2 linked regions of the Lepisosteus oculatus genome follow. Each later gene encodes a partner of the first gene's protein in a complex. Links are inferred from orthologs where the notes say so. Each region holds a gene or a part of one and is shown on either strand. Other genes may lie near its edges.

What was found.
Region 2: kat14 (region 1) and dr1 share a complex: the UniProt entries of both Homo sapiens proteins name them as parts of the ADA2A-containing complex. The link is inferred for Lepisosteus oculatus from reciprocal best matches to the Homo sapiens genes KAT14 and DR1.

The regions. Positions count from the first base shown.
Region 1 is NC_090712.1:562,075-565,985, reverse strand, and holds the start of kat14 (cysteine-rich protein 2-binding protein), read right to left. Parts: upstream 2,741-3,911; coding exon 2,470-2,740; intron 1,569-2,469; coding exon 1,447-1,568; intron 1,225-1,446; coding exon 1,103-1,224; intron 1,001-1,102; coding exon 819-1,000; intron 365-818; coding exon 1-364. Other genes in the region: protein PET117 homolog, mitochondrial, read right to left, coding at 3,390-3,533. UniProt on the Homo sapiens protein: Component of the ATAC complex, a complex with histone acetyltransferase activity on histones H3 and H4. May function as a scaffold for the ATAC complex to promote ATAC complex stability. Has also weak histone acetyltransferase activity toward histone H4.
Region 2 is NC_090704.1:1,932,348-1,936,258, forward strand, and holds the start of dr1 (protein Dr1), read left to right. Parts: upstream 1-1,325; 5' UTR 1,326-1,855; coding exon 1,856-2,075; intron 2,076-2,576; coding exon 2,577-2,740; intron 2,741-3,911. UniProt on the Homo sapiens protein: The association of the DR1/DRAP1 heterodimer with TBP results in a functional repression of both activated and basal transcription of class II genes.

The sequences.
Region 1 (3,911 bases):
AGGCTGGGGGTGGCGGAGTGGGAGGCCGGAGTGCCGGGGGCGGAGAAGTCAGGCGAGGGGGACGGGGAGGGGCTGGTGAGCGGTGTGCGGTCCGAGGAGCTGAGGGAGGAGAAATCGATCACCTCCCCCTTCTCCAGCACCAGTTCCGGCCGCCGACCCCGGCTGCCGAACTTGACGGGCGTGGAGGAGGCGCTGCGGTCCAGGAAGCCGGCCGCCTCCTTCTGGGCCCGACGGATGTCCTTCGCCTCCTGGGTGCGCGAACGCTTCTCCTTCAGCTGCATGGCGCTCTCCACCGGGTTGCGCCCCCCGCGCTTCCTCAGGCCCTCCACCGTGATGATGGGGTCCAGCGGGGGCTTGGAGGGGGCTGAGGGGGCAAAACACACCACAGTCAGATGAGGAAAACGGCCTCCTCCCCCCTCCCCACAGACACAAGGGGAGCAGGAACTGAGCACTGACTAGAATGAGAACTTCTCCATGCACAAGTTCAGCAGTACAGGCAAAACAGATTTACTGCTGAAGCTTTCCCCAGGCAGGCCTGCAAGAAAAAGCTGGACCAAGACTCTTGCAGGTGTTTGTAACCTTGCTGATGTTTGGGAAGCCCATCATGTCAGGGTGAAAAAGTCCTTTGTCTCCCTTGATTGACTGCTGGCATTAAGCTTTGAGAAGCCATTTTCCAAGAACAGTTGATCAGCAAGGCCATATGACCTCTATCCAGACAGAAATATGAGATGCTGGAACAGCATTCCTTTGGATTGTTTTACTCCTGTGCTCCAGGCACATGCCTCAGCTCAGAACCAGAGGAGAGAGCAGCGTTTCACCTTTTGTCTTCAGCAAGGAGACGGAGGTCTTGTCCCCCTCGGGCCTCAGGGTGGGTGGTCGGTTGTGTACCAGCTTCCACCAGCCTGGCTCCCCAAACTCCTGGGCTCCAGAACGGAAGAACATGGGGCTCCCCACCGACAAACACCCCGCCACTGTGCTCCACCATGTGGATGTCTTCTTCCTGCACGGTAGAGTCAGAGGGAGCAGATCAGCCACACACACCGCTGTCGTCCGTTCTCTCTGTTTCCAATTGCCAGTGCTAGCAATTACCCCAGTGCCCTACCTGGATCCCAGAAGGAAGGTCCAGTGTCTCCCGATAAAGGCACAGATGTCCTCCTTCCACCGGAAGTAGCCCTGTCGGCCGGTGCCCTCCAGCGAGAGGTTGTACATGGCCAGCATGACCACCTGGAGGACAGGAAGTCATGACCACTTCAAACATCAACAGGTGTCAACAGTGTTAATAACGTCATAGTATTATATGGCCCAAAATCGTAAATGTCAGCATGAGTAATTATTTTTCTGGAGAGCTGAAATAAGACCTTTAAACTGGACTCAATCAGATGATTTGGAGCCTGGAGACCCTTGAGCAGTCAGGGGTGGCCCAGAGAGAATATCCCTGGTTCATACCTGCTGCCAGGTGAGCCTCATCCTCTCAAAGTGCTCCTTGTCATCCTCTGAGCACTCACAGCAGGTGAACTTAAAGAAGTTGTCGCCTTTCAGGTAGCTGGGCTGGTCTCCTCGCAGCTGACCTGGATGTTGAACAAGGAAGCTAATGTTCAGAATCAGCACAGAAAAATAGGATTTTACTTTACTTGGGGCAACCTTGGGCAACCTTGTTGTAAAAGGCGCTATATAAAAATAAATTGAATTGAATTACTCTAAGGTCAACGCCCTCCCAAGAATAGTCAGAGTTCAGACAGTGTGAATATGGAGCTGTGATGTCAACACCCTGTAAGTCTGTATGCCTTCTTTACTGTGAGGAACTTAACTTAGCAAGCCCCTTTACCAGTCTATGAATTAGCAATTTTATTGCAACATGAGGGTTACTGAAGGATGCAGATGAGAGCTCAGATCCCAGGAGCTGTCTACACAGGCCAGTCTTGAGCAGGTGCCGAAAGGTGGTCAGGGACCGAGTGAGCAGTTTTAATTTCTGGGGGAGGTCCACTCCACTTTGAGGGGTGAGGGTGGAGAATGAACAGACTCTAGACGTGAGGGAATGAAGAGGAGGAGCAGAGATGGGGTGGAGAAGGCTGAGAGATAAGGGACTGAAGACCAGCAAGAGCAGAGGCGCTGAGTAATCAGTGTGCAAGAACAAGGGCTTCGAGGGGGATGTGTGTGTTAATAAGGAGCCAACAGAGTGACTAGAGCAATGGAGTGGCAGTAGAGCAGGGAGGAATAGAAAGGACAAGGAGAGCCACAGAGGTGTAGCTGACATCTGTCAGAGTCCGTCATCCGGCTGGCTGAGTCAGAGAGGGAGTTTGGCCAAGAGGGAATTGAGTGCACTGGGGAGAGCTTCCCGGCTGCAGAGATAACCCTTCCCTTCTTTACAAGAGCCAGTATTAGACTGTAGTTTAAAAAGGAAAAAAGCTTTAAGCCCACAGTCACCATTACAGATTCGGAAGCTGGCAGTGAGCTGCAGGTGCGTCTCACCGGCTGGGATCCACTTGTGACACTTATCACAGTAGAAGGACATCTCCTCCGTCCAGCTGGAGTCGGGCTCGTCGCCGAGGTCGCTGTTGAGGGAATCCCCGCTGTGGTCATGGGAGAGGTCCACAGAGGCCTGGTCCTCTGACTCCACGATCAGCAGCGTCTCCCCCTCCACCTCCCCCTCCTCCAGCCCCTCCGAGGCCGAGGTGCGCGTGGCCTCGTCGTCCATCCGCTGGCTGGACAGGCCCCTCATCTCGCCAGATCCCCCGTCCATCGCTGGCACGTACTCGCTTGACAGGGGCGCTCTGGGCCGGCTGCCTGCAGAGCCCCACAACCCTGCGGGACAGGGGACAGTTTCACTCCAACAGATACATTCAGGAAACAAGATGCAACTGGCAAAGCAGGTCCTGCGCTGATACTACAGAGGAAGAGAGAGAATCAGTAATAATAGGATTTTATCCAGACCAGTGTTGCAACAAGGTCTCTCAAGGAGCAAGGCCTTTTGTAGTTCTGATGAGCTGAATGGCCTGTACACATCATGAAATTTTCTTACACGTCCCATGTAAAGCAGACTCCCACACCCTCAAGGAAACTTACTAAGTATTCCAGCTCAACCCTCAGTTAAATGATTGAGCCTGGGATTGAACAGATCGCTTGCTTAAGCACCACATTTTGAAATTATGTTTATCTGCTGAAAATTTCAAACAATTTCAAGTAAGTAACTGAGACCTTGACTGGAACTAAAACTTGAAGACACTTCTGGCCTAGAGCCCATCAACCACGTTCAGGTACACACACCTGGCTTGGAGGACAGAGTCATTCAGCATCGGCCACACAGGCCAGAACACCCACAGTCAGCGGACCAGCCTGACTCACATAAGCTGTTGGCGATGTCTGAGCCTCTCTCAGGGTGGCCTGCCAGTCTAGGAGCCCTGAGCGCCTGCTGCTCTCCTCTCCCGCTCCTTCTCCAGCTCCCTGGTCAGACTGATCTGCTCTTCCAGTTGCCGCAGGTTCTCCCTTTTCCTGGCCTGCCGCTCCAGGTCCCGGACAACACCCTCCCGAAGTCTCTGCCGGAGATGCAAGAGCAGCACGATCAGAACAAGAGCATCAACAGGTGGCTCTCACACTCCTTGAGACAACTCTGTTAGATTTGCAATTGACTTAACCCCTTAAACGTCTCTTTAAAGCACAGGAGGACTAGTTCATTCTTTTGACTAATTCATGTCAAACACAAGTATAGATACACGGCTATATGCGTGCACACATACACAAGATTCTGACATTCATCAGCTAAAACTAACTTACTGAGGTAGCAGCATAGCAACAGAGTGTTTTCATAGAAAAAAACAACGTTTTTTCAATTCACACTGTTGTTAATGTATTTTACAGGTCTGTGTCCAGAATGTTTTTAAATCTGTTGACCTTCAATTAACTCGCCCATATAT
Region 2 (3,911 bases), on another chromosome or scaffold:
TGTTGAGTAATTAAATCAAAGCCCAGCTCTAGAAACATATGGCCTGGTAATGGGATTTACTGAAACTAAATCCCACAACACAGTGAAAGATCTAAGTGACACAAACACAAATCTTCTGTATATGTAGCCATTTTATCTGCAACAATCAAGCAGGACACCTGGTAAATCTTACTCTGTAACTTCACTTGCCAATGGAAAATCAACCAGAAATGTGTCTATCCTAAAGATAAAGCCCATGTGTACTTTTTCTGGCAAATGGTGAAGAAAACTTTGGAAAAAAAGAAACATGACACCTATCAAAAGCACACCAGCAGCTTTTATAGAAACAGCTTTAGATAGATAGATAATACTTTATTAATCCCGTAGGGAAATTGATGTGTTACAGCAGTCCAGCCCAAGACAAGCAAAACAGACATCAGAATAGTTATAAAACAAAAGACAAACAAGATAAATAAAAATAAATAAATACATAGGTGTGTGCAAAATGTGCTGATCATAGTCACTGTAAAAACAATAAAAAGACTAAGACTAAAGACTTTAGACTAAGTTGTATAAATATAAATTTAATATTATATTTAAAAATAAAACTGAGGTTCTTGGAATAGAATATTCTATATATAATCCATCTATAGAATCACAGTGGTGTAGTTCAGTGCTGTTTATATGAACACTAACCTATCCTCATCTTTAACTTAACTATCATTCTACAGAGTATACATTTATAGTAAATTATTAAACTTTTTGCTATATTCAAAACTTTTTTAAAGATAAAAGGCTGCTGACTGTGCATCGCCCAGGTGGCGGATAACGTGAGATCCTTTTAGATAACAAACGTTATATAACCGCGAGGAATTATTATTATCCTGTGTCGCTAAAGCTCATGGCAGCCAGAAAGCGATCGAAGTAGATGTTGGGGGCGGCGCAGAGTACAGGTCTGTGAATCGGGAACACCGCTGTTGCACCTTCAAAGGAGGTTACTTCACCGCAGCGACTCCTACCCACCCAGCTGAGCAAACGAGTCCAGCATTTCCGTGGGTTAACCTGCAATGAAGTAGCAACCTGTAAGGGGGTAATTTCAGTCCTTTTACTGTTGCCGAACTCAGGATAAGATCAGGCTTGATAAGCCTCTAGGCTACGCTATGGACGTTATTCTCACGCAGAGTTAAAAATGCATTTGTTTGTCTATGCGTATACTGCAGGTCAGCCGACTTCAAGGGAGCTCCACGCTGGGCAATTTCAGACCCAGCCACAGAGCATCCCTCTGGCTCGAACTCCCCCTATTGGTCGCTGTGTGGCAACATTCCGTGACGTCGCCGGATGCGGAAAAACGTCACCCGTTGCAATATGGGATAGCTTCCGGAATCGATTAGAAACCCTGCTGCTTCAACGCCTGGTGCTGTGGACCGAGCACCGAAATGAATTAACAAAAGTATTATGTTATTCTCGGAGCTGGTGTTATAAGCCTTATTGTTTATAACATTAGAGAGAGAGAAAAACAGTCCCTTCGAAACTGTGGAATTACAATGCAGCGGAAGCCAGTCTAAAGAGTTTAGGATCATGTGTAAATTAAATAGCAGCTGAGGCGATAGGAAATCTGCTTGGAGACCGGCTGATTTGATCCTGTTGGTTTCTCCTACGCTTTTTTTCTGGTGGATGAAAAATCCAATAGGTCGCTTTGACAGCGTTAGACACTGTGCAGGGTGCAGCGCCATTGATGTAAAAGCAGGGATTTGGGGTGTACTTAGGAGTTTGGCGGAGAAGCTGTAGGTTGGTGCAGTTGAGACTCCGTTCGGGCCGCCGTGGAGTCGAATCGCAGCTGAGGTTCAGTGTTTCGGGAAAAGGACGGCAGGACAGAATGGCTTCTTCGTCTGGGAACGACGACGATCTCACTATACCCCGGGCAGCTATTAATAAAATGATTAAAGAAACTCTTCCTAACGTGCGGGTGGCGAACGACGCCAGGGAGCTGGTGGTGAATTGTTGCACTGAGTTCATCCACCTCATTTCGTCGGAAGCTAACGAGATCTGTAACAAGTCGGAAAAGAAAACGATCTCTCCTGAGCATGTAATACACGGTAAGAGTCGTTACCGATGCCTATTATTCAGTCTCTTTTGGGGGGGCGAACTGTTTTGCTCGCAGATTTGTGCGGCTAAATCGTTTGCTAATGGGTCTCGTTTTTAACCTCCCCCTTAAAACCACTCCCACTCGCTGACTTTGACAGCGAGGCTTCACACACTGTTGTTGTATTGTGTGGCTTGCTTGTTAAAGGGACAAGAAACAATTATGGCAACGCGTTCTACGGTTTGGGTACAGCCGAACCCTCTGATGTACATATTCCTTCACCTCCTGGATTTATTTAAATGTAACGCAGACAGACCAACCCTGCTGCGAAGCTTTGTCATGATCCTTACAATTCTGTACATGATGGGAGCAAAGTGCTTCCTGAGAGAAATGACAGGAATCCTGATGCTTAGTGTCATGAATTACAGCAGAGGTGCCGGAGGTACTGTGTGCTTTAAACCTGGAACAGTGACTTTCGTGGGTGTCTTAAAACAGGACTGTCTGTTTTGTCTAGCGCTCGAGAGCCTGGGCTTTGCCTCCTACATCACCGAAGTAAAAGATGTGTTGCAAGAGTGCAAAACAGTCGCGCTCAAGAGGAGGAAGGCAAGCTCCCGCCTGGAAAACCTCGGCATTCCTGAGGAGGAGCTCCTTCGGCAGCAGCAGGAGCTGTTCGCCAAGGTAAAGCCGCCAAACTCGCATTCCGTCTCCTCACCTTGTCACTGCAACGCTGGGGGGGTCTGCTACTCTGCCCCAGTGGTGCAAGTGGGAGTCTGCTCTTCCTGGATCATGCGTGCAGTAGTGCTCTGTGCTGTTTGAGGACATAAGGATACAAATGACAGGAGGCCACACCCAAGATGCTTTAGCTCATCCTGGTTGGCGTAGAATGATGCAGACAAGAGCCCCACGGCTCCATCCTGGTTTACCCTGGTGGAGCAGAGCTGGTTACAGTACCTCACTGGGGGTACACCAGCGCTCTGCAGTGGGGACTTGTACCCATAGCCTGCCAGTCAAGAGTCCAAAGGCTCACCCTCTACTCGACACCGCCTTGACCTTCGATCGGGTGTTTCATTTTCTGTGGATGTGCTGCCTTCATAGTCAGAACGCTCTTTAGCCCGCCTCAGCAGAGGAGCAGTCCTCACGCTTACTGAAGTGAGGAATGGGAAGCTTTCGGTGTGGTCCACATCCTCTTTGTCCTGCTGGTGCCGTGACGTTAAAGTACCAGCCCCGTCCAAACCTCGATCTCGTTGAATGTGTGGAAGGGCTAACAGAGCAGTGTACGGTACAGGGTGGCCTCTCCCGTCGGCTGCGTGCCCCAGCCCCTGTAGGGCCAAGACTGGTTTAGATTGCAGGTGAAGGTGAAGCCACAGGAAGTCCACAACAGGAAGATGGGAGCTCCAGCGGAGCCCTAGCAGCTTGAGCCAACGCTGCGGGCTGTGAGGCTGTGGGCTAGAGTGTCTGAACGCCAGTGGAGCTGGCGAGGTGTGCGCTGCAGGAGTGTCTGAACGCCGGTGGAGCTGGCGGGGTGTGCGCTGCAGGAGTGTCTGAACGCCGGTGGAGCTGGCGAGGTGTGCGCTGCAGGAGTGTCTGAACGCCGGTGGAGCTGGCGAGGTGTCCGCTGCAGGAGTGTCTGAACGCCGGTGGAGCTGGCGAGGTGTGCGCTGCAGGAGTGTCTGAACGCCGGTGGAGCTGGCGAGGTGTGCGCTGCAGGAGTGTCTGAACGCCGGTGGAGCTGGCGAGGTGTGCGCTGCAGTAGTGTCTGGACGCCGGTGGAGCTGGCGGGGTGTGCGTTGCAGGAGTGTCTGAACGCCGGTGGAGCTGGCGGGGTGTGCGCTGCAGGAGTGTCTGAACG